Drosophila melanogaster: one gene and its partners. The protein of the gene in region 1 interacts with the protein of each later gene in a pairwise test. Each region holds a gene or a part of one and is shown on either strand. Other genes may lie near its edges. The genes, in order: Cpr73D, CG15617, nmdyn-D7 and row.

Region 1 (6,741 bases):
TTATTTACGTGTAGCCACGATATTTATGCAACTCTTGCAGGCTAGTCAAGGCATTTGTTTGGATTCCGTTTCCGATTTCGATTTCCGAGTGCGGTTCAGCGGCGGTGGTGGCCTTGGCCAAATTGCCACCCATGACCACGAATCCGATGCCGGCGCCCGCCTTGTAGCTCAGCTCATGGTAGCCAGCCTCATCGTAGTAGGAGTACTTGCCCAAAACATTTCCCGCCTCATCGGTGTGCTGGGCATGCGACATCTGGTCGGTGCTGAAATCAAAGTTTTGCTGGCTTTGCCGGTGCTTCAGGTGGTTGGTCGATGCTAATTGGTAGCCCGCACTCAGCGAAGATGTTGCCACTGCTAGGTTATCCTGTGTATTGTAGGAAATCCGGGAAAGTGGATTCTGTCTTGTCCTCAGAGATTGATGCACAAAGTTCAGCGGACCAAAGGAATCCAGAGAAGATGCCCCAAAACTAGGCTTAACGACACTCCTATCCAATCTATCGCCATCCGTGTTGTAGGAGTATCCTTGTCCATTGAACTGCATATACACTTGCGCTCCTTGAGCACAGGAAACTATCAGCGAAGCAATGAAAAGCACCAACATCATGTTCAAGTCTCAGAAACAACTAAACTCCGAGCATGCTAAGTCATGGGGTTATATGTGGATTCAAGGAAACCGCAATGTGCAGATTAACCTGCTTATACCCGGATCCACGGATATCAAATAACTATTCGCTAGAGATACAGATACAGTTTGAGATACAGATACAGGCAAAAAATGTATTCCGCTTTAAATACTGTTTTAGTTTCCATGTGGAGTCAACCCAGTTTCGGTTACTCAACACTGATCACTTAGAGCTACGCACTACAAACTACAGATCTACAGATCCAATGGGTGCTTAGTGCTCCCTTGAGGCATTCAGCTCGGCGATCTCATCCTGACGCAGTGCCTCCGACGGCGAAAGTCCGATCCTTCCGCCCAAGGGTATTATGTCGATGTTCTGGACATGGGCACGCACACTTTGACCAGGCGGCAGGCCCACGTACCATTTACCCACGTTCTTGATGACGGTGGAGTCGCGGTGTCGCTGCACCCACTCCCGATCCCTGTCGATCTCTAGAATTCGGTGGTTGGCGGTGACCAGAGGAGGCAGTGAACTGCCCACATCGTCATCGTTGAGGTGGTAATTGTCCCCGGGTCCGCTCATGGCACTGGTGCCCGATCCACCTGTGGGCGGCAGGTAGCCCAGGCCGGAGTCGCCTTCCCTGGAGGCTCCAGCTCCACCTCCTCGACGACTGCTTCCACCACCGGCAGCACCTCCCCTTCCTGCTCCCCGCTCAGAGGAGACACTTACTCCACCAACGCCGCCGAATCGGTTTCTGTTTCGGGACCCACTAACATTGTTTCTCGTGGAGCTACCTGAACCACCTCTCTGAGAGCTGTCACCTCCGGCATCGTATCTAGTACTGCCCCGTTGCGGACTACCCGCAGGGAACCCTCTTCTGTCTTCTTTGCCATTAAAGTTGGTGGAACCAGAGGAGCTGCTGCCAAGCCCAATGTCATCCCCTTGGTCATCAGCATGGTGTCCCAGATTTTCATCAGCTGCCCCAGCATCACCATCTCCACGATTCCTATCTCTTGCTCCATCAGCCGGCTTTAGGTAATCTTTGCCTCCGGGTCTGCTTGGAGTACGGCCCCTTCCCGCTCCACCTGCACCACCACTTGGCCCCGAAGCTCCTACCGAAACACTTCCCCCACCTGATCCACCACCACCTCCCTTCGGACCTAAGCCACCACCAGCACCCCTGCCAAAATCATTAGCCAGTCGGAAATCTGGATCTGTCAAACGAAAATCAGCCACAGAGGGATTGTTATGGGTTCCAGGACCAATCCGATTTTGCACCACCCGGTAGCCAATTCCTGCTCCAGCTATATACTCCACTGTCCGCTGCACGCCCTTGTCGTCCAGGAAGGAGTAGGTTCCTCGCACCAGGCCATCGGGTGCTCGACTTTCTGCCCGTCGGTGATCCGAACCTGAGGCGATCAGCTTATAGCTTCCAGCCGGCCCCCTTTGCACAGACATCTTGCCGCGTGCTTTGGGATGGGACGTGTACAGAGGACTGGAGTACGCCACAACAGATGGGCTGTCCGGCACAGCGTTGGAGATCTCGAATCCGGTTCCGGCTCCAGCTGCATAACGAACACTGTGCCGCTCGCCCACGTCGTCCAAATAGGAGTACAGACCTGGGATAGAATCAGTTAATATACTCTTAAGTACCATACTCGCTAAACTCGCCTCTTATCCTATTCCCGGAATCATTCTCCTCGCTGCGCGACTGATCCGGAGTGCGAAAACTAAAGCTGTAGGATGGATCGTCGAAGGGATCGGCCAGCGGATCGTCCGGACTTCCCCGCGGCAGTACCGGATACTGAGCCAGGTCCATTTTCCGATGGATTTTCGGTCCGTTCACGCGAAATCTATGTGGGAAATAGAGGGAGATTAATTAGCTACCGACACAATGAGTGGGGATTGGGTAAACCCTTTCAGCGGAAGCGGACTTGCACTGCAATTTTGAATATAGATTCGATCTTAGCCCGGCACGCCATTACTTCGATTACTACACATCTCGGGGAACGATCCCATTCAGAATCATCGCTATCGTTGAGCATCTGCCATCTACAATCCATTCCTCTTTTTTTTTTGGCTCGAATCTCTCAGGCCAGTCAATTTGTTAACAGCTTTTTGTTTCCCCCGATTTACCGGAGATTGCAAAAAACAACAGTAGCGCCGAAGCGGTAATGGAAAAACGTTTAGGCAACGCCAGAAAAAGCAGTCCAATGTGTTAGAACGGCTCCAACTCCATGGATCCCCCTCCGTTTGTTTGGGTTTCGCTTCAGTGGCCGCCGCCTGCCGCCAACCGCTGATATATGAGCTCAACTCTGACATCGAGGGGAGATAACTCACTTTGTGCTGCCACTTCCTCAGCGGCCAATACACTCAGGAAAAAACCGCCGACCTTCCTCAAGGAAGTTACCTTCGAGTCATGTATACCCACAGAACTTATCGTTGCCTAATTATTTTTAAAAACATTTGAAATACATATATTTTAAAAATTATGTTTTTCTTTTACGCATATTTTGACATCATCAATTTTAAATGCATTTTTCTCCACACATATGCACTCTAAAATGATACTATTTTCTTGCAGTGCACCAGCGCACTTTACCCACTAGTCTTGGCTACCGTCTTCGATTACTCACCCACGTGGTCCGGCTGTGTAGACCGTCTCCTCGATCTGCCCGCTCGCCGGACTCCGCGAACCGTAGCGACCTCGCACCGTGTTGTCCGGAGTGCCCGAGGCGCTGTGATAGTAGCCGCCAATGTCATCATTTGCATGTCTTTTGGCCGATTGGAAGCAGTAGCAGTAGCAGTACCAGCAGCAGCATATCCATTATCCATGCCAGGTGGGATCCATCGAAACAGAAGTAATTGCGTTGCCCCATGCGTGCGAAATGGAGAGGGAAAGATGGTCGGAAGCGTGTTATTGTTGTGGTTGCAAAACGTTGAGGCGTTAAAGAGGTGCTAAAAATCTCAAATTTTCTCGGGTGTAATGGTGATGGTAAGGTAGCAGACATCATTGACCGATTAGATGATTTGTTAGATTTATGACCCATGGCTGCTAAAAAACTGTAATTGAGTTGTTCTCTTTTCAAAAGGTTTATTATTCTACCAAACAGCTAAGTTTGTACGCAATTGGGGAAGGTTATTTCTTATTTTCAGCGACTAACTACTTTTAATCCTTTTTTTAAAAGGAAATTGGACGACAATGAAAGTTCTATTCTATTTAATGTAAATTATGTTATTTGGTTAAGTTTTTTTATTGTGATGACTAATGCAATGAGTTGAAAATTGAAAAATATTAATTTCAATGTTATCTGAATTAATTTTATTGTGAAGTTTTAAAATCCTATTAAAAATCTTAGTCGATGTAGGTATTATGATAATCGTATTACGAAGGAAATTACTAATTTCTGTCAAAATATCCTGCCTTTTAAAGCATTTTTAGGTAAATTGAAAATTTTACTAAATTCAAAATTTTGCAATTGTAACAAAAACTATTCATCAAATTTCTTGAGTCACAGGGTGTTGCATTTGCAATTAAATGCATATCCATTTAATCCATAATGCCAATTTTTTTTTCAGTGCTTAATATCCTTTAAAAATGTTCACTATAGTTTGTCACACATCTATGTACCGAAACTGAAAAGATCCATCCTCGCTGATGGTATTGTACTCGATTTCGGCTCTCGCAGGATCCGAAAAGTATCCTAAAACTGCGCAGAGAAGCAAAAGGGAATTCGCGTGCCGATGCAGATGCCACATCATTCAAATCGCATTCGTTTTAATCCAATCGAGAGATGAAACAAGTATCAAACGGGCATCCTGTTCCAGGTGCACAGTCACCACATAAACTTATATTCCCCCAACAAATCCGATTCGATTCGATCGTCTGCCAATCCGATCTTGGAACCCGTCTTAAACTCCGACTTGGTTTGCGATCTTCGAGAGGAGCTAGCGGCTAGAACAACGCGACGGCGACGACTGATGCGATCCAGCGTTAGACCTTCGTATTTAAATACGATTCTCAGGCGGCTCAGCGAGCGGTTCGTGCGGCGTCATATGGTGGTGCTAGTGGAGCTAGTGGTGCTGCTTGTCTCACCTGACCACCCACCAAAAAGAGCCAAAGCCACGAAGATGAAACAGCAGCATTTGTGTGCAAATTGCGTTACAAGAAAAGGCGGAAAGTGGGCGCGGGGCTCAGGTGAGAGAATTCGTTCTAATGATGGACACGCAAGTGTTGTTGCAGCTGCTGCTGTGTTTCTCCTATTTTATGGCTCCTTGTTCGCCACTTTAGGAGGGTGGGGGAAGGGGCTTAAAACCCGCGGGAAATGGCCAGCGGAAAATGGAAAATCGTGCCTGTGTAGCTGTCTGTCAATTAGCTCACGTTGTTCTTGTTCCCCGAAGTTGCAACCTGGAGCTCTCTTCCTGTTGACAATGCACCATCCCCCCGCCCCGCTCTCTTTAGCTTACAAATCGCAAAACTCTGAACATTGAACTTCATCGCTGGGGAATCAATTTTCCATTTTGAGTTTTCCGTTAGCCGGAGCTTATTACAAGTTCGATCCAGAGCGAGTCTAGGTCAGTGTCTTAGCAGCAATTTTTGGCCAGGTATGCAATTAAAGGCAATTACCCGTCGGCTGGAGGAGACCACAGAACTTTATGACAATTTCCGCCTAGGATCTTGGCTCTTGAATCTTGGCCATTATAATGAGCCATAATTAGCGTGGCGACGCTACTGGCCACTTCCAAGTACAGTTATTGGCCATTGTTCTGGGTTCTAGATGGGGATGTGCTGGGGATATGTCAGGCCCTCTGATTAGACCGCCCCGCTTGGTTGCCTTTGATTCTGGTTATAGTTTATAGTTCTGGCTAGCCCATATTTACATCCACATAGACTACCGCCTTTGATAATCTTTATAGCCGTTGTTTTTTGGCCATATGCAAATTGGTCAGAAGGCGGAAGAGTTCACCAATTGGTTAATTGTGCGCTCAATCGGAGCGAGTGCTTTCCGAGCATAAGCGCTTTGTAATCGCACAACCGCAGAGACAATGGAACGAAACCCAATGCGATCGCGATCGGAGAGCCATGGAGATATGGTATAGCAATGATATATGGCCGCTGCCAATGACCATGTTCATAGGCATGTGGTCGAGCTTTAAGGACAAGTTTCTAACGGACTGCACGCATGGGAAATGTGCAACCAGTTGTGGCAGTCGCAGTTGCACTTGGAGTATTGCTGTTTGCCATTGAACCACATACCCAAAGAGCAAAACTAAAATGAGAAAAAAAAAGTATAGCTAAACTGGAAATTCATAAGTGGCCTGTGTGGGCCATCCTGCCAAGTTGGCTTGGAAAAGTGAAAATGCTTTCGATTTCATCGCGTCCATTTCTTCGGGGGACATTCATTTGACAGCGGCCCAGGCGTTCGGATCGGCGTGGAGACTCCAATTAATCGCAACCATGAGGATTACACAACTTTTATGCATCTCGTGCATGGTTATCACATCGATCGACGCTGTGGAATATCTAATTCGCTTCGAGACGAAAAAGGCCAAGTGCTTGAATCCACCCAGAACGGCCAGGAAAGTCGAGTCGGTCATAAGGGAGTGCCAGGATGAGGTCCGCAACAAGTTGGTTAATGGTGGGCCTTCAAATTAGTTAAGCCATATTAAATACTATACGGTTTTGGTCCCCATTTAGAGGCCTATGAGATACTCAAGGAGCAGGTGTCACAAAATCAGCCACCCATCGATCCGAACGATGACTCCATCGACTTCATTTGGCCTTCTGTGCCCGAGGCACCTTCCCTTGATCATTCCCCCAACATCAGCCAGTACGAGTACATAGTCTACGATGAACCCGAACCACAGCGCCACGTGGCCAGATTGATGAGGAATATCCGACGTTTGGATGTGGCCAGTTCGGGTATATATCATCCCACTCTGGTGCCTCTGGAAGACAAACGCATTGCGGGGGTAAGTGAAGTCAAGTAGGAGAATCTTCTGCGAGACTTGTAGATCGCTTTTCTTCTCGTGTTAATGAAATGCATAAGGCATGCTCAATTAAGTTCAATGGCAGCCCAAGAAACAATTGGCTAAACCCCCACTTTAGCTCACCCAG
Region 2 (4,242 bases), on another chromosome or scaffold:
TTAGAGTAAGTCGCTTTTCTTAATTACAATTGAATAAGTTCAATTTACTTTCATTAATTGCTGTATCCACAAACTTGTTTATTTTTGATTAATAAAAATAATTCGTATATACATTTAAGATACTGTTACACAAAAAAAAATTCATTTTCGTTTATTATTGTTCTTATTTCAAGTTAAAAAAAGGAAGGAAGTTACAATCTTAAAGCAGAGTAGAAACTGTATTTGGATTTACACACTTTACACTGCATCTACTGGTGGCTTGGGATCATTGGGAGCATCCTCCGAAGGACTCTCCGGCGGCACTTCATTCGGCTGTTCCATGCTTTTTATCTCACCCGATTTGTTTTCATCCAAACCATCTAACGTTTGGGCTTGATTTTCATTTTCATTACTATTTACCGGGTCCTCCCAATAAGATGTTACGTATTTTTCAGCCAACTCGTTATTTTCAACGGATAGGGAATCATCATCCTTGTCGCAAATCTTTATTCTTCGGCATCCTCCATTGTTTCTCACTATTGAGCCTTCGATGCATCCACATCCTTTCTCGCAGTAATGAATGCAGTCGACTGGGTTATCCTTGCATCCTTTGTTACAATATGAATAACAATCTGGGAAAGTGTTCTCGCCACATTTCCTGTGAGCGATTTTATGCTCATAGGCAACAATTTCCAGGATAATCTGGCTGAAGAGAGCCAGCAAAATAATAACTTTCATTTCAAGATTCAAAACGGAACATAAATGATAAAATCTGGGTGATACGAATTACTTAATCGAATAATAAGTGGAACTAACTGATTACAAGCCCATTTACTTAACAATATGCCTCAATTTGAGTACTTTAAATATCATATATCAGAAAATATTTTTTATTCGTATTTTTTTGTAACTATACATAGTGTTTGAAAATTTAAGTGATTTGATAAAAAGTTATTTACAAAAATAATTAAGCTAAATTTAGCTTTTTGGAATTTTAGATTGATTTTATATTTTTTTCTATAACACAGAGGAGGTAGTATATATCCTTTAAGGATAATAATCGAGTTCGTATCACCATATTTATGATTAGCATTTTGAGAACTCTTTTCAAAATTTCTAACCCAAAGCACTGCAACTGTTTTCCACAGATGCCTGCCAGCTATGGTTTTAACTTATCCATCAATAAAGTTATCCGCTTATTTCTGGGCAGGATTAAGACACGGTTCTCAGGAGAACCCTTTTCGAAATAGTTTCCCAGCATTTGTGTGGCACTTCAACTGTATATTCAGCTGTCTGCCTTCTTTTGAGTGTATAGTCCTTGAAGGTCCTGATGCACTGCAGCGGATTCAGCGCTGCCTGCAACTTCTTGTGACTTGGTCAGCATCATCTTTCCAATTAGATTGGTCTCCTAATCCCTTGGCGGTGGTCCACGTGGCCTGAGCACGGTCTCGAGAAGATTCGGACCTGGTTGATTCTTTGGCCTGGGAGTGGGCGTCAAGGAGCGAGTGTGTGGAGCCAGCTCATCCTTTTTGTGAACAGCTGAGGTGGCAGCACGTCTCGCCCGAATCTTCTCCTCCATTTTGCTGGGCACCATGAAGCAATTGGACTCCTTGTAGACAGGCTTGCGGCGATCGTTCCAGGGGAATGTCCATTGAATGGGCGTGAAGTCACGACGCCAGGGTTTCCTGGGCTTAAACCAGCAATCGCAGGTCCAATCCTCCTCACCGGGAGCATCGTCATCACTAAAGAACCAGATGAGTTAAGAAATCATGATGCTAAGAATGTTTAAGGTTAAACTCACCCCCTAACGTAGACACGAACGTATCGCGAATTCTTTCGGAACATTTGCAGGGCCTCATTGAAGGTCATCTCCAGGGCCGGCACATCATTGATCTGGGTGATCTCGTCGCCCACTCGCATGCCTCCTCTCTTCGCCAGGCCAGTGGGTGACACATTCACAATGGTCAGCGGCTCGAACTGGTCAATGCCGCCAGTCACCTCCATGCCCCACATCGCGTCGTAAAAGCTCATTATCCTACAATCCGTCTCCAGGGTGTACGTCATCTGCAGCTCGTACGCGACATTGTCGAACGCATCCGAGTCGTACTTGGGCACCCTAATCTTTGAGTCGAACATTGTGGCGAACTCAACAGTAAGTGTGGCCCCCTAGAAACTGGTAAGATGAAACTGAATCCAAGCCGTTTGAAACGGACAGAAGGTACTTTATCGTCTGGCGCTGCTCGAGTTGATCACTTGCTTTTATAGCCGATAATTTGGCAAGTAAAGCGGATACGGATACAGGGACAATGTCAAGGGGTTTACCAAATGAATGTGCCAAGTACAGGGAAAAGTGCCTAAAAAATAAACAAAGAAAAAATATAAATATTTAAGTAATAAGATCGTTGTTATCATTTTGTAAATTATGTTTATAATTTATAATATAAGAGAACATCACATTCTGACCAAATATATCAAGTTGAAATTGTTATTTGTTTTGTAGTAAAGAATCTCTGTTGCTCGCAAGTATTACCTACTGTGTATTACGGGAAAATCAATTCAATTGATTTGCATTTAATTGTTGTCTATTTTTAGTGGCAGTGATTTTGGCTGACGGAAACCAAAGCGACCGGCCAAACGACAAGGAAGATCCCATGGCCGCTTTTGGCCACTGAAAGTGCAGCCGACGCGAGAGCCCAGGGAGCAGCCAAGCAGCTCCAAGTCCAGTTCCTCCACACACCGCTGGGCAAGTGCTAAGCACTTGGTCGGAACTATTTGATTTCACTGACCTCAATTATGGCTGCAACCGAGTTGGTCCGAGGTTGGCAAGTAGGGAGAACCGCGAACCAGAGGCTTCTACCGGACTATTGAATTATTCATTTTGAAAATGGTAGAAAATGTTGTTGGAAGAGAAACCCGCCAACAAAAGCCCATAAAATGCTATTGCCGGGGGAGCAGCGGCCAAATGGCAAAAGGCAAACAGTAGCGACAACTTGCCTAATTACAGCAGATATTCTGGTATGGATGTGCGTCCTTCAAAAGTTAGTATACTCCATATTCTCCTCATCCTCTTACTCCGAAAGCACTTAGCAGCTTGTCGGAGCTTATGCACTACTGGCATACTGCGTGGGATTTGCATCACTGAGCTTGGCCAGCTTTGGTTGTCATGGAATTTCATAGCCACAATGAAAAGGATTTCGACCATGGAATTGAGGTAATTACTTAGCAGGTGCTGCTGGCAAGTGGAGGATTACCTGGCCAAGTGGAGCTCTTGTTTTCGTAGCTATCTTGAACCTAGTCACGTTGCCAGTGCAACATTTCAGACATATAATTGTTTCTGGTCTTTATCTAAAAATGAAGCAGTCACGATTCCATGTCGACTGTGCTATATAAATCGGCTAACTGAAATGCACCTTTAACTCAATAGCAATGAAGCTTTTTCTCCGTCTGCGTAAGTACTAGACATTTAAACAATTATACATTTTTTTTGTTCTACATAATTTATATTTTAGTTATTTTTACGCTAATACTGATCCTGGCCGACGACCAGAAGATAAATCGAATTTTGTATATAAAAAAACGTGTAACCACCAGTTGATATGTAGAGTTAATAAACATTACTTTTAAATAACAATGGTTGTAATTTCAAATGGAAGTTCTGTGATATGTTGAATTTGAATTTTAAAAGAATGAGAATAAAACAATTAAGATGGTTCTGATCCGTTTGCTTGGCCAGGCAAACTTTCGGTATATTCTGAATATTTATTCAAACTAGGTAGGTTGTCTTACTCATCAAAGCACCTCAAGCTATCAAACTTGGCTATAATCGGTCTAATCAGTCCGACTCCGGTGGTAAAGGTTTGTACGAGACATTCCGGTCGATCGTATATCGCCTTCTTGCCAAACTGATGGGCCACCCTAATAAATCTGAGAATGCTACCAGTTAGTTTGATTTTCGGCTGAAAATCAACGCAATCGGATAGGAGGCTTATGGCCGTTATAGAGTTCTCGATCATTAGGGCACCGGCATCAGTCACCACTTCCAAACATCGCAGATAGTGATCGAGTTCCGAACTTATGGCGGCTTGAACTTGCGACTTTTGGCATAACTAAATGGCGAAATGGTTAAGAAATAATCCCGTTAAAGGTCGACGTACTTACAGCCAAAAAGCTTAGTAACAAGGCGATCTTAATCAAATGCATTGGGGTTCTTATTCCAGCAACTTTTGATCCAACTTTGTGGGCCATGTGGAAATATTGCCCTAT
Region 3 (4,356 bases), on another chromosome or scaffold:
CGCTCGGTAACTCTGTTTCTCATGTCAATTTTGTGCATGACAATTTTGTTCAACAGAAACTGCCTTTTTTTGTAACCAAGTCAGGCTGTCAGTCAGAAGTGTTCCGACTTCGTAAAACATAAACCAACAATTCACAGCAACAACATAATGTCGGCAGCAGCAGGGTGAGTCCACAACCGGCCATCTCAGTGCCAATCGGCGATAGCCGGACCATCTTTTTGTGGCTTCTTTGTGCGTCGCGTGCTTTGTCGTTGCGGCGGCGTCCATTTTCGAACTCCCGGCCGTGAAAAACACATAATTTTCGTTCGGATGACCCTTATTCTCGCGCTCATCCGCCTGGCCAAGCGTTTGTGTCCACGGTGGGCGTGTCCTGTGCGCATCTGCATTGCGATATTTGTGGAACTAATCGGAGGGTCCAGTGTTTGAGGTTATGTTTTCGGCTGGCGGTAATGCCGTGCATTTTCGGCATGGACTTTTGCCTGGGCTTATGGTTTATGCAAATCTAGCTAGCTGGGAAGCTATTTACATAGTTCGTGCACCCGCTTCCAGAAAGTCCGACGCGAGTTGCCATGGCAACGGATCTCGCACAACGACATGAAGCTCTTATTTATGTTTATCCAACTTGATCCTCCATTGCAGCTTGATTCCGCCTCCAGTTTCCTGGGCCCAGCGCAATGACTTGATCTACGTCATCATCGATGTCGAATGCAAGGACATCGAACACAAGTATATGCCCCCATATGTAGTATGTCCATGCTCCTTGCACATCCTAATTCCATATATTTATCCCAAAACAGAGTTACGGAAAAAACCTTCACCTTCAAGGGCGTAAACGTGCTGGATCCGTCGAAGAAGTACGAGGTCACACTGAACTTCCTCCACGAGGTGGATCCCGAGAAGGTGACCAGCAAGAACATTGGCCGCTGCCTGGAATTCACAATACCCAAGAAGGCGGCCGGTCCCTACTGGTCCTCGCTGACCACGGACAAGACCAAGTTGCATTTCCTAAAAGCCAACTTTGCCAAGTGGCGCGATGAGTCCGACGACGAGGAGGGTAAGTTGACATCCTCATCCCCAAGATCTCATCCAGCAAACCCACTCATACAAACGCACTTTGCAGGTGACCAAAAAGACAACAGCATGTTTGGAAATTTCCTTAACAGCCCTGGTGGCGATTGGAACAACAAGTTCGACGATTTCAACGTCGATGACGAGGAGGAGGACTCGGATGACAACATCCCAAGTCTGTCCCAGAACGACGAGGATGACGAGGAGGGCGGCGAGGGTGATAAGGAGAAGAAGCCAGCTGCCTAGACGGTCGCTCAGATGGTGTCTCGCAATTTGGCGTAGTCGTAGCGTTAGGCGTGGCTCTTATACCATAAGTCAGCACACGATCACAACACTCACTCCTCACATACACACCAGAAAAGAAAAAGAAGAAACACTCAATCACTCATAAAACATCCACAAACGCATGCGTACATGAAACACTATTCCAATCGAAGAAAACCACATTTAATATACCTGAATATTATGCGTATTCAGAGGAGAGATGTTAACAAAAAGCAACACAAGGAACAAGATGATTTGGCGCCGACAAGGGAAACCATAAGTTTTACGCTAGAATTTAACAACCAGAGGAAAGCTACAACCAATTTATTGCAAAAATCAGTTTGCAGTTTATTATTTTTGTTTCCTGTAAATAAAGGAAATTAACAATAAAAAAAATGAAAAACTTATATTCGGCTTTTTATTTTCAATATTTTATAAGTTTACAACATTCTATAAATGTTCTAGAAATCTCTAAACTGTTAAATTCGGAATGCGCAGTCCAGCTTCTTAAAGATGTCGCAAAGAAGGCTTTATCTTTGAATAGATAGCGATTTTAAAAAGAAATTATAGGTAATGGTTAAAAATTGTTTATGGGTAATCCCCTAGAATTTGGGTTTAAAATTAACATAGGTATTTTTTTCTTTAAATTTTGCGCCCACTTAAATGAATTTTGTTATGTTGGCAACACTGTTGCTGTGACAACGCGGGAAAGAAGAAGCACAATTGAAATGCAAAGCAAACAAACAGTTATCACTCGAAATAAAGGACTTGCTGTCAAGCGATAGAACGGAAAAGCAAGGTATAAGATTCCCCTCAAAACGATACCATGAAACCCGCTGCGATTCCGGCTAGCGAGCGGCGTCTGGCCTTCGTGGCCGAGTGGTTCCATGCAGAGGCTGGAATCATACGCACCTTTCTGATCACCTACTATGTATCCGACAAGGCCGTGGAAGTGGTGAGGATTGGTAGCACAAGTTCTTCAAAGAAACACATTTAACCAAGGCCATGTTTTCCCTCAGTTCGACCAGCGCAACAAGCGCACATTTCTGCGACGCACCAAGATCCCGGAGCTGACCCAGCGCGACTTCTTTGTGGGCTCCAAGATCAATGTCTTTGGCCGGCAGTTTGACATTGTGGATTATGCTGACGACACTACGCGGACAAACCTAGCCAAATATCGCAAGAAGTATGTTCCTTCATCGACAGCTATCCACTCGCTAATCTGTAATTCCCATCTCTTTCAGGGGATTCGTTTTGCTCAAGAACAATATGTGGACGAAGCACCTGGGCAAGTTCCTAAAGACTCTGATCGACAACAAGATTAACATAAACCAGGGCATGATGGTTCAGTTCTCTCCCAAAATGGTAACTCAGTTTCTGTCCGGCAAGGACACGACGGATGTCTCCTCTTCGTGAGTAAAGATGGCATGCCAAGGAACACATCTTATCCTCTAAATTCCAGAGTCCTTATGAACGAGCTGCTGGCTGGTCCGGCCATTAGTCTGGAGCTAATCGGCGACAACGTAGTGGAGACCATCAAGGCCTGCGCCCAGTACAAGAGCACAGAGGCGGAAACACCCAGTGTGAAACTGTCGCCCAGTTTGGAAGAGCTGTTTGAAAGTGAGGAGATTCGTTATGGATTTTACTACTCTGATAACGACAACGACGTGGAAATGGACCTAAAGTTCATATCTGAGGCGAGGCACAGCATAATTAAAGAATGTGTATTCAAGAATACAACACTTGCCATCATTAAGCCGCACAGCATCAAGGATGGTCTCCTGGGAGACATCATTTCCGAAATCCTGTCGAATGGCTTTCGGTTGACAGCCATGCGCATGATTCTAATGGCCCGAATCAACTGCGAGGAGTTCTACGAAGTCTACCGCGGAGTGGTGCCCGAGTATATACCCATGGTTGCTCAGTTGGCCAGTGGAGTATGCATGTGCATGGAGATTGCTTGCGCCGATCCCGAAAAGAAAACTGATCGCGAGTTCCGCAACTTCTGTGGACCCATGGATCCGGAGATCGCCAAACTGTTGCGGCCTCACACGCTGCGCGCCAAGTTCGGCAAGTCCAAGGTGCAGAACGCCGTCCACTGCACTGATCTGCCAGATGACTCCAACCTGGAGCTGCAGTATATGTTCAAGATAATCGACTGATCTTAGTTTAGTTTTTATTTGTTTTCAGTTAAATGCATGTTTGCCTGTGTGCGTTTATCAATAAATTACAAGTGCAATGAAAATACTAGACCGTAGAAACTTCTCCTATATGCTCCCGCTGCGGCTGGTGCTGGGCACATCCCGGTCCTCCGCTTCACTGTCCATCCTCACATACATTCCGGCCTTGCGCTCCTGCAGAGTGTAATCGAAGGCCAAAAGGGCATAGAGGATGATGCAAACTAGCATTACCACCGCATAGAAGAAGTACTCGGCCATCTGTGAGCTAAGCATACCCAGCTCGGTGACCAGAACCACGATCAGATTGCCGAAAGCATTATTTAGAAACCAGGCTGCCGTGACCACCGACTTCATAGAGGTCGGTGCTTGGGTGAAGGCGAACTGGAGACCCGGAATGGAAAGCAGTAATTCGCCCATCATGAGCAGCAGGAACTGGGGCAGTTGCCAAGCTATATTCACTGTTTGGGGCGGGGAATTCTTCGAATATTTCGGGTTAATAAACGATCAGGTGAGGTATCTTATTATTCCTGCTTACCTTTATTCGTTCCTGCAAGGCTCCTGCACAGAAAAAGGCGCCGGCGGAGAAGATCCCACCCACAGTCACACTATGGAGCGGCTGGAGCTCCCAGTTGAAGTAGCGGCGCAGCAAGGGCACTGTTATATACTGCCATAGAGGGATGAGCATGAACAGAAAGATGGGTCCCACGGCCTTGGCCTGATCCGGCTGGATGGTCACGCCCATTAATGTGGTATTCATCTGGGTGGCCTGGAATGTCCAGCTGGAATCCTGTTGCGCCAGCAGAGCAAAGTAGAAGGGCAGTGGGATAAACAGCTTGGATATCTA
Region 4 (8,758 bases), on another chromosome or scaffold:
ATTTCTCCAAATTGTATTGGACCGGTCTGCTGCACCGGCATGCTCTGATGTACTGGCATATTCTGCACGGGCTCATGCTCAACTGGCGCCGACAAGTATTCCTGTTGAAGTTCCGCTTGCGGTTCATTCGGCTGTCCCTGCATCTGTTGCTGATGTCCCACCTGTTGATGGTGTTGCTGCAAATGATGGTCCTCCTGCGGCGGCAACATGTCGGAGCTCTGATCCGCGACATCATCAGCAGTCTCGCTAATATCTGCACCTTCACCAGAGGTTTCTCCATCGCGTCGAACCAGGCCCAACATGTCCAGCATATTACGCTTGACGGCATTCTCACTGGCAGCCTCCAAACTTGGGTAGCAGGTGCTAAGTCCACAATTTGCCAAGTGCTGAGCCATCTTGTTGCCGTTGCCGGTGGCAAAGCCGCAGATGCAGTGCATCTCCTGTGGCATATTCACTTCCATGGCGTCCACAAAGTTTCCATTACATTCCACGCCATGACGGAATTGCGCTCGCTCGCAACATGTCTGATAATTGCACTTAACGCAGTGTAGCCAACCACTGGGAAAAGATTTAATATAAAAAAGTGATTAAATGAGTGCGTAGAGCGCCAAAACCTTTTATTACAAATTATTGCCTCACACATTCTAATGAGTTTTCCCCAAGAGATCAATCAGCCACTATTAAATCAATTAGCTGCTGACTTATAAACCTCAACCCGCGGTTCTGGCTTGTCACAATTGAATCAACCACCATGTGCAAAGTGTTAACCTTATTGGTCGTTATTTTATTACTGGCGCTAACAAACGCTGCTTACAATGTGACATTGTTGAAATCCGTTCTAAGTCTCATCTCTACACGGGAGCCGTGGATAAATACACCAATATTCGTCGGACATAATACGCAAGGAGGCGACCTCAACGACTTGATTATTTGGCTCCATCAAACAATGGGAGTTACTAGCTTGACAATGAATTTATTTCTCCAACCTGAACATATAAGACCCCTTGGTCATTTTAAAATCACTAGATACAATGGCATAGCTTTGTTCTTTTGTCATGATAAACATGATATCATGTGGCTTACTCTGGATAGAAATCTACGAAAACTCCGTCGCATTCGATTGATCATCATTCTGCGTAATCAAAGAAGTGGCTCGCAAGGTGCTATTAAATCAATATTCAACGCCTTATGGCAATATCAATTCCTCAACGTTCTTGTCCTGCAAAGGGATCAGCTTTATTCCTACACTCCGTATCCGGCGATGCGTTTTTTCAAACTCGATATTCATACGGAACCGCTATTTCCACATGCAGCAAGGAATTTCCATGGATATGTAGTATCCACTCCGGCGGAAAATGATATTCCGAGAGTGTTTCATGTGCACGATCCATTAACGAAGAGCAGAAAGGTGCTGGGATACGCATATCGCACATTCGTGGAATATTTGGATCACTATAATGCCTCGCTGCGTTTGACCAATCCAGATGAGAATCTAGACCCAACAACTAGTGTGAATATGAACCACATTGTGCAGTTGATTATAGACGGTCAATTGGAAATCTCTTTGCACCCGTACGTTTTCACACCCCCAACAGCAACCAAGAGTTACCCCTTACTAATATATCCAAACTGCTTGATTGTGCCCATGAGAAATGAGATTCCAAGGCACATGTACCTATTGCGACCATTCCAATTGTACAGCTGGTATATTCTGTTATTCGCAGTTTTCTACATCACTGGAATTCTCTATTGCATAAGCCCGAAACTCAATAAAAGTTCTTGGCCGCAACGCTTGGGATTGAATTTTCTAGATGCGATAAGCAAGATACTTTTTATCAGCCCCCCTATAACAATTTACAGACCAACATGGCGCCATTTGATTATTTTCCTACAACTTTCAGTCCTGGGATTCATGTCCACAAGTTGGTACAACATTGAGTTGGACAGCTTCTTCACAACCATAGTAGTGGGCGAGCAAGTAAATAGCATGGATCAGCTTGTCCACCAGCAGCAAAGGGTGCTCGTCAAGGAGTATGAAATTAACACATTTCTGCGCCATGTTGAACCTCGATTAGTGGAAAAAGTATCTCGGCTTTTGGTGCCTGTAAATGCCAGTGAACAGGTGTCCGCTTTGCTGAGTTTTAATCGCAGCTTCGCGTACCCTTTTACAGAAGAACGTTGGCAGTTTTTTGCCATGCAACAGCAATATGCCTTTAAGCCGATTTTTCGCTTTTCATCTGCTTGCTTGGGATCTCCACATATTGGCTATCCAATGCGCGTTGACAGCCACTTGGAGACATCCCTTAACCATTTCATATTGAAGATTCAGGATACTGGACTGCTGAATCACTGGGTAGTTTCCGACTTTAACGATGCCATGCGTGCTGGATACGTTAGGTTTGTAGATAACGTCCTGGGCTATCAAAGTATCGATGTGGATACTTTGAGACTGGGCTGGTGTGTCTTGGGAATTGGTTGGATACTGTCAGCTCTGGTTTTCTCTTGTGAATACTGGCACCTTTATCCATGGCGATTTATTGCTTAGGTAAATAAAATATTTTTGAACTTACGTGTAATGTGTCTCCTCGCTGGCGAAATCGGTGTTGCACTCGGCACAGGTCTTACCCTCCAGAAAAGCAAAGAATACTGGCCGCTTGTAGGTGGAGAACGGCGGCTGCTCGCGGTGATGGGTGCGAATCTTTGGCGGTGGTATCAACATCGAGTTGTTGAGTAAGAGACGCACCGGTCTATTGGTCTTAGTCATGCTCACATGATGCTGCACTGCGTGCTGCTTTAGATCCCCCTTCTCGAGGAAGGATAGCGAGCATTTCTGGCAGCGCAGCGAGGGATCACGCTTGTTGATGTGCTCGTCCAAATGCATGAAGTAATGTTCTATGCGCAGCTGGTTAACGACGCCAAGCTTTGAGAAGTAGAAAATCTAAAAAGAATCAGTTTTTAATAGAGAGAACTTTACAAGATTACTTTACCATGACAGCTACTTACATCCAAGCAATAGGGGCACTGTAAAAAGTTTTGATGCTTGTGGTCGTCATAAAAATGCCTGACCAAATCGCGGTGCGAAGATGATCGATAGCCGCAGGAGTGACACCAATATGGTAGTTCCAGGGTGCTGTGGACCTTCTGCAAATGAGCCGTCAACAGATGCAGGGAATTGTGACGCTGCTGGCATATTAGGCAGTAGTACGAGGGTGAACCCTCCGTTTTTGTCTCAGTTGGATGCATGATCTGGTTGTGTTTGGCCAAAACCGACTCGGTGGGATGCTTCTCCAAGCAAAAAAGGCACTGGAACTGGTGCTGCTTACCCTCTGGCGAAATATGCGATACTAAATGCGTTTGGAGTTTCTCATTGGAATCGAAGGAGTCGCCGTTCAGGCAGATTGGACACTCCACGGTCTTGGCCAGTTCGTTGTGAACCGTACGGGGTGTGCTATATGGAAAGATCTCGTGGTACTCGTCCGTACCATCACTTATTCCATAGTACAGCTCCTCCAAGCCCCTTAGATCATCCTCTTCTTTCTTAATGACCATTGGAATCTTTTCATCTTTTTCTTTCGGTTTTTTACCAAGGCCTTTAGCTATCAGAGATTTAGACAGTGATTTAGATGACGAGGTCGTTGCTCTGTCTCCTTTTGTCTGGTTGGTACTGCCCGGCGGCCGACCTGGACCCTTTTTAATTGGCAATTGAGGTGGTGGGGTGCCTAATGCATTCGGTGGACGGCCGCGCTTGACTCCAGATGATGCTATATCACGATCCTTTTCCTTCTTGGGAATCTTGTTAGAAACAACGTAGTCAGCATCGTTGATAGCTGCAATTGAAGATGTTAACTTAAAAAGATGTAATCTCAACATACAAACTTAAACATTACATATTTGTCCATTTTTGTTGAATCTGGTGGAATGGGTCCAATCAATTTAATTAGTAAATTCTTTCTTGCGTTTTATCACTCCAAATGAAAAAGGAAATCAAATAAAAACAGTTATTAAATTTCTTGCAAGTTTATTTATGGTTTCTCTAATGGGGTTGTTTTAAAATAATTAGACACGAGAAATGTCAGGAAGTAATGCTTAAATTGTACATATGTGAATATATCAATGATACATTTCACCTATATAGATTATATAAATTCACAATTCACATAACACAATAAGTGGACCTGAGCTCAGCTGTTGGGTTCGATTAACCAAAACTAATCAAACAAAACGAAAACATTTCAGTTTGGAGTGAGAAACGCAGGCACTTAACAGATTATCATAACGCACTATTCTATTCACGGCCTAAATAAAAACTTGCTACAAAAGTACGATAGTACTAACGTTTCTTGAGGCGCTTGGGAGCAGCATTGGCAGGTGTCTCCTTGTAGTTGGCCGGCAAAATACTCCAGTCCTTGAACGGATTGGTTGCCACCTAAACGAAAGAGCTATTAAAGGCTAATCGCTAATAAAAATTTTTCGATTCTGCTTACCTGATACAGACGCTGAGTGATTGTCTCATTGGTGGTTACTCTTGTCTGCTCGGCAATGTGTATTATGATATTGTTGAATGCCTGCAAGGCATATGTACCAAAGGACTCTCGCCATACCAACTCGTCGAGGAATTGTTGAATCATCTGGCGAGATAGCAACGATAGGGTGTTCTGGAACATGCGCGGCACAATCCGTCGCAAATATTCCATTACCGCTGAGTTGTTGTGCTTGGCTGTGTTGTCAGTGGCAGCTGCTTGGACAATATTTTTGAATCCCATGCTGAAGAGGGTGATCTTGTCGACAGTCAAGTCTATACAAATGGTGCTGTCCTTGTGCACCCAGCGCGACAGTGGCTCAAGAATGGCCTGGAATCGCTTTTTGTAGTTACGATCACCATCGGTGATTGGCTCTACAGCCCGCAGTCGGATGGACTTCTCCGCATAATCATAGACGCCCAGAACCTCAACTTTCACTTGTCGCTGGGAGCCATCTTGGGATGTGGTTCCTAGGGAAATAACACCCACCTCCACAAACTTGCCGGGACCGCCCAGCTTCTTGCATTTTTGATGCACTGCCAAAGTGCAAATGGCTCTAAGCCAGGTGTAGATTCCTTTGATATAAACACTGTCCACCTTAACCCACTGCACCACATTTTGAATACTGGTCTGGCAAGCCCAGTGGTAAATTAACTTCAACAGGAATGTGGGTGGGTGCTGAGCTCCTTCGAAAATGGAATTGTTGAACACGGAGACGAAGCGGTAGGGGCAACATTCGCTGATCCACACATAGCCACCAGTGTAGGGAAACTTGGTCACATCCGAATAAATTCCTAAATATAAATACATTAATAAACGAATTCAGTTGATCATATATCTCTTACCCAATTTGAGCTCGTTGTTGCGATGGTTTATGCAATGCTGTTGAGCGCGTAGCAATCCCTCCTGGAGCAGCCACTCGCAGAATTTATTGGGCGTAAGCATGAGCACCAGCTTAACCTTCGAGTCCAGCTTGCTGCGGGTGGCAGCCATGTCTTTGATCTTGAGAAAAGGCTTTGCTAGCACCACCAGAGATGGATATGTCTTTCCTTGCATCTTGTTATCCTTGCCATCCTTGCCGTCTTTGCTATCCTTGCTTTCGTCGGTGCTGCCCACCACCAGACCGCCCACCGAATTAACCTCGGCGGGGCGGTAGTTCTTCGGCGGCGATTCGATGTCCGGTTTGGATTCCTTAAATAGTTTTCCACTGCTCTTAGGTACCGGTGAAGAAGATCCTCCACTAGCAGCGGATGCAGCCTTCTTACTGGATTTCGGGGTGAACGAGGAAGATGCATTGGCCACGGCCACTGCTTTTTTGCCTGCAGACAGCGCCAGTCGCTTGGCCAGCGGCATATCGTCGTCTCCCTCATCGGAGGACTCCAGGTAGGCGATGTTGGATGGTTGTCGTGGTGGGCGGCCACGACCCCGCCCTGTGCCACCGCTTTGGGCGGCGGGTGTTGAGGGAGAGTCCGTCGGCTTGGGTGGTTTTTTGGGCAGCGTAGCCTCCTTGAGCTCCTGCAGCACTTTGCCCTTAAAGGAGTAGGCCTGGAACACCTGGCCGTTAAACAGCTCCTTGCCCTCGTTGGCGCTAACCGCGTTCTTTAGTGCACCCTTCACCGCGTTGTGCTCGTTAGTAATCTTCTCGTAGTACGCCAATTGTGCCGGCGACAGCTCCTCCACCCAGAACTCCATGTCCAGGGAGATTTCACTTCTCGTTACGCGCGTCATCTTACAGCTAACTAGTTAACCGACCACTGGCCCAGCGAGGGCGTTGTTTTTAAAAATATTAAGAGCTAAGTAAATTTTTTTTCGCTCGAATTAGCTTTCCTTGCGTGGATGTACCTGCTCGAGTAAATAACATCGATGAAAACATCGATAATATCGGCTTGGGTATTGTCGTGACACACGCACAGTGGTGCACCACACATCGGTTCGTTAAAATATAAACAAATATAAATCAAATTTTTGTATTTAAAAAAAAGTGTTAACGTAAACTGGTCAATTTTATATTCTGCTAATAAGAACAAGAATAAAATTTTTTTACAATTAAGGAATATCATAACAAGAATTGATTTAACGTATAAATAAATGCCATGAATATATTTTCCCACCTAAATATACATTACAGATATTTTTTACTATGATCAGTATGTTGCGGACTATCGACTACCACAAAAAACGCTGAAAGTCTATCGATGATTTTACAAGATGCTTCATCCCTGAAAGTTGGCGCGCAATTCAAACTAAGAGTGCAAAATATTTCTCAACAGTACACAATCAGCAAATAAAATAAAAATATCTAGTACAGCTTATATTTTATTATATTACACTTAATATAATCCATTGTATTTAGCAGGTGCACTTATAAGGCAAAAAATGTTAGCAGGCTAGTTCGTTTTGCGTTGTTCAGTCACCGTGAAGTGTCACCAAATCAATTTGAATTTATGACCACTCGTATATTATCGGTTCATTAGCTACCAAAAGCCCCCGTTGAAGTGGTGACCAATGGAACTTTTTTTATCACAATGTCACAAAAACGTATGTCGCTTTTTTTTATTTCCAGCGCACATTTATGCATTATTTATGTCGTTAATTACCCGATCATAAAGAATTTCTTTAATATTCAGTCCCCACAGAAAGTCGATATGATTCCACTTTTCTTCCGGCATGCGATATGCGCTTTTCAGGGCGCTCGGGTTCATGGTATACCTAAGGCGATCCACGTCAATCAGACTAGCAAAGTAGTCGTTGTCAGAGTAATAGAGATAGGTGGGCACATCGATGCCCTCCACATCGTACTCCGGCGGGGTCTTGCTGCTGTACTCCTTCTTGTTGCGCGTAGATCCGTAGTCGAATTGCCGGAAGTATCCGGAATTGTACTCCTGCAGGTAGTGGAAGATCTGATTTACTGAGCATCCCGCCGGAGTGGTGGCCATAATATCTGGGAGCAGGGTCTCGTTGATATATGGCGAGTTCCAGCCGCCCAGCAGGAATAGGGTGTTGGTGCACATGAACTGTGAAATGGCCTCATCGCTGCAGAGGAGAGCCCCGAACAGGTTCATTAGCTGTGTATTTGGCAAAAATTCGGCGCTGCCGAAGAGCTCGACGAAGGCATTGGGCTGACCAAGCAGTGGTCCACCGACCGTGGCCAAAGGACTCTCCATATGCTCCATCCAGGCCACAGGAGCGAGCAAATGAGCAGATCGAATGCGACTCTTGAAGCGCGGAATCATAGAGTTGAGCACAAAAAAGGATGTGGTTCCTTGAGAGTGACCCACATACGTAAGTTGAGTCACATTTGTCCAGTAAAGGACGTAATCCATCATAGCGGGCAGATCATAGATTCCGATATCGTGCCACTCAAAATTCCAGAAGGGCTGCAGCAGCGGCGACTTGCTGGCGTGTCTTTTGGAGTAGGTGTTGCCTCTGGCATTACCCATCCACACATCGTAGCCCGCTTCGGACAGCAGGTATGCCAGCCCACTGTGAGGTCCAGCAAGAACCCAATCCGAGGAGGAACACAACAGACCGTGCATAAGGAAGACAACAGGGCGTGGCCCATCGTACCCAGTGTTCTTCGAGTACGGTATGCGGTGCATTGTGAGGATGTAACCATCCGAGGTCTGCACCTCGTGCTCCTCGATTTCGTAACCGTGTCCCCTAACAATGGTGACCTGGAAAGTAGAGCAATATAGTGGTTAGTAAGGACTTTTGGGTGCCAAAGAACATGGCATCCTAAAACTTACAGTTGTCACCGAACTGGCGCGCCCCGTATCCGCAGGCAGGGCATTAGCCAAGCCCAGACTTAAAAAAACCGCAATTAGCTGAACCACCAACATTTTGTATTCCACAGGTGCAGGTGCTTTGACCGCTGACTTGGCCGCCCGTGCCTTTTATATGCCCCCCAGGAACTTGATAAGGATTCCTAGATTTGGCTGCCTAATTTATGACTGTTTATTTTTGCCTGCAAAATGGTTTGATTCGCCAAGACTGATAGATCGTGTGGGAATTTCGATCCCAGTTGATTTAACGAATGGCTAGTGGTCATCAGCGATAAGGTCTCCTATAATCTTGATAACTGCTGATTAGGTATAATTGCTAAGAGTTAATCAGCAATTAGTATTTCCTGCTTTGGGCGTACGGCAAACTGGACATTAAAAGACCCCACATCAGTCTGTAAACTGACATGCTAAGCCGGTAAGGACAAAACTCAATAAATGTAGTATATTAAATGAATA

The links.
Region 2: the proteins of Cpr73D (region 1) and CG15617 interact in a two-hybrid assay, tested with the Drosophila melanogaster proteins (one large-scale study listed by BioGRID).
Region 3: the proteins of Cpr73D (region 1) and nmdyn-D7 interact in a two-hybrid assay, tested with the Drosophila melanogaster proteins (one large-scale study listed by BioGRID).
Region 4: the proteins of Cpr73D (region 1) and row interact in a two-hybrid assay, tested with the Drosophila melanogaster proteins (one large-scale study listed by BioGRID).

Annotation. Positions count from the first base shown.
Region 1 is NT_037436.4:16,938,342-16,945,082, forward strand, and holds Cpr73D (cuticular protein 73D), read right to left. Parts: upstream 4,609-6,741; 5' UTR 4,383-4,608; coding exon 4,255-4,382; intron 3,398-4,254; coding exon 3,260-3,397; intron 2,477-3,259; coding exon 2,295-2,476; intron 2,243-2,294; coding exon 897-2,242; 3' UTR 759-896; downstream 1-758. Other genes in the region: CG13022 (uncharacterized protein), read right to left, coding at 5-601; Obp73a (Odorant-binding protein 73a), read left to right, coding at 6,082-6,262, 6,322-6,596.
Region 2 is NT_033778.4:16,744,369-16,748,610, forward strand, and holds CG15617 (uncharacterized protein), read right to left. Parts: upstream 2,212-4,242; 5' UTR 2,116-2,211; coding exon 1,781-2,115; intron 1,722-1,780; coding exon 1,388-1,721; 3' UTR 855-1,387; downstream 1-854. Other genes in the region: Sfp53D (seminal fluid protein 53D), read right to left, coding at 238-717; Acp53C14a (accessory gland protein 53C14a), read right to left, coding at 3,762-4,085, 4,138-4,179.
Region 3 is NT_033777.3:9,677,923-9,682,278, forward strand, and holds nmdyn-D7 (nmdyn-D7), read left to right. Parts: upstream 1-2,016; 5' UTR 2,017-2,158; coding exon 2,159-2,287; intron 2,288-2,351; coding exon 2,352-2,518; intron 2,519-2,576; coding exon 2,577-2,744; intron 2,745-2,794; coding exon 2,795-3,494; 3' UTR 3,495-3,580; downstream 3,581-4,356. Other genes in the region: p23, read left to right, coding at 148-164, 640-726, 798-1,054, 1,121-1,314; CG9444 (uncharacterized protein), read right to left, coding at 3,600-3,989, 4,048-4,353.
Region 4 is NT_033778.4:15,207,242-15,215,999, forward strand, and holds the start of row (relative of woc), read right to left. Parts: upstream 6,394-8,758; 5' UTR 6,249-6,393; coding exon 5,366-6,248; intron 5,315-5,365; coding exon 4,485-5,314; intron 4,427-4,484; coding exon 4,336-4,426; coding exon of another isoform or gene 4,331-4,335; exon of another isoform or gene 4,004-4,330; intron 3,828-4,003; coding exon 3,004-3,827; intron 2,939-3,003; coding exon 2,571-2,938; intron 2,546-2,570; coding exon of another isoform or gene 752-2,545; intron 559-751; coding exon 1-558. Other genes in the region: Ir51b (ionotropic receptor 51b), read left to right, coding at 752-2,545; CG8093 (uncharacterized protein), read right to left, coding at 7,091-8,194, 8,267-8,359.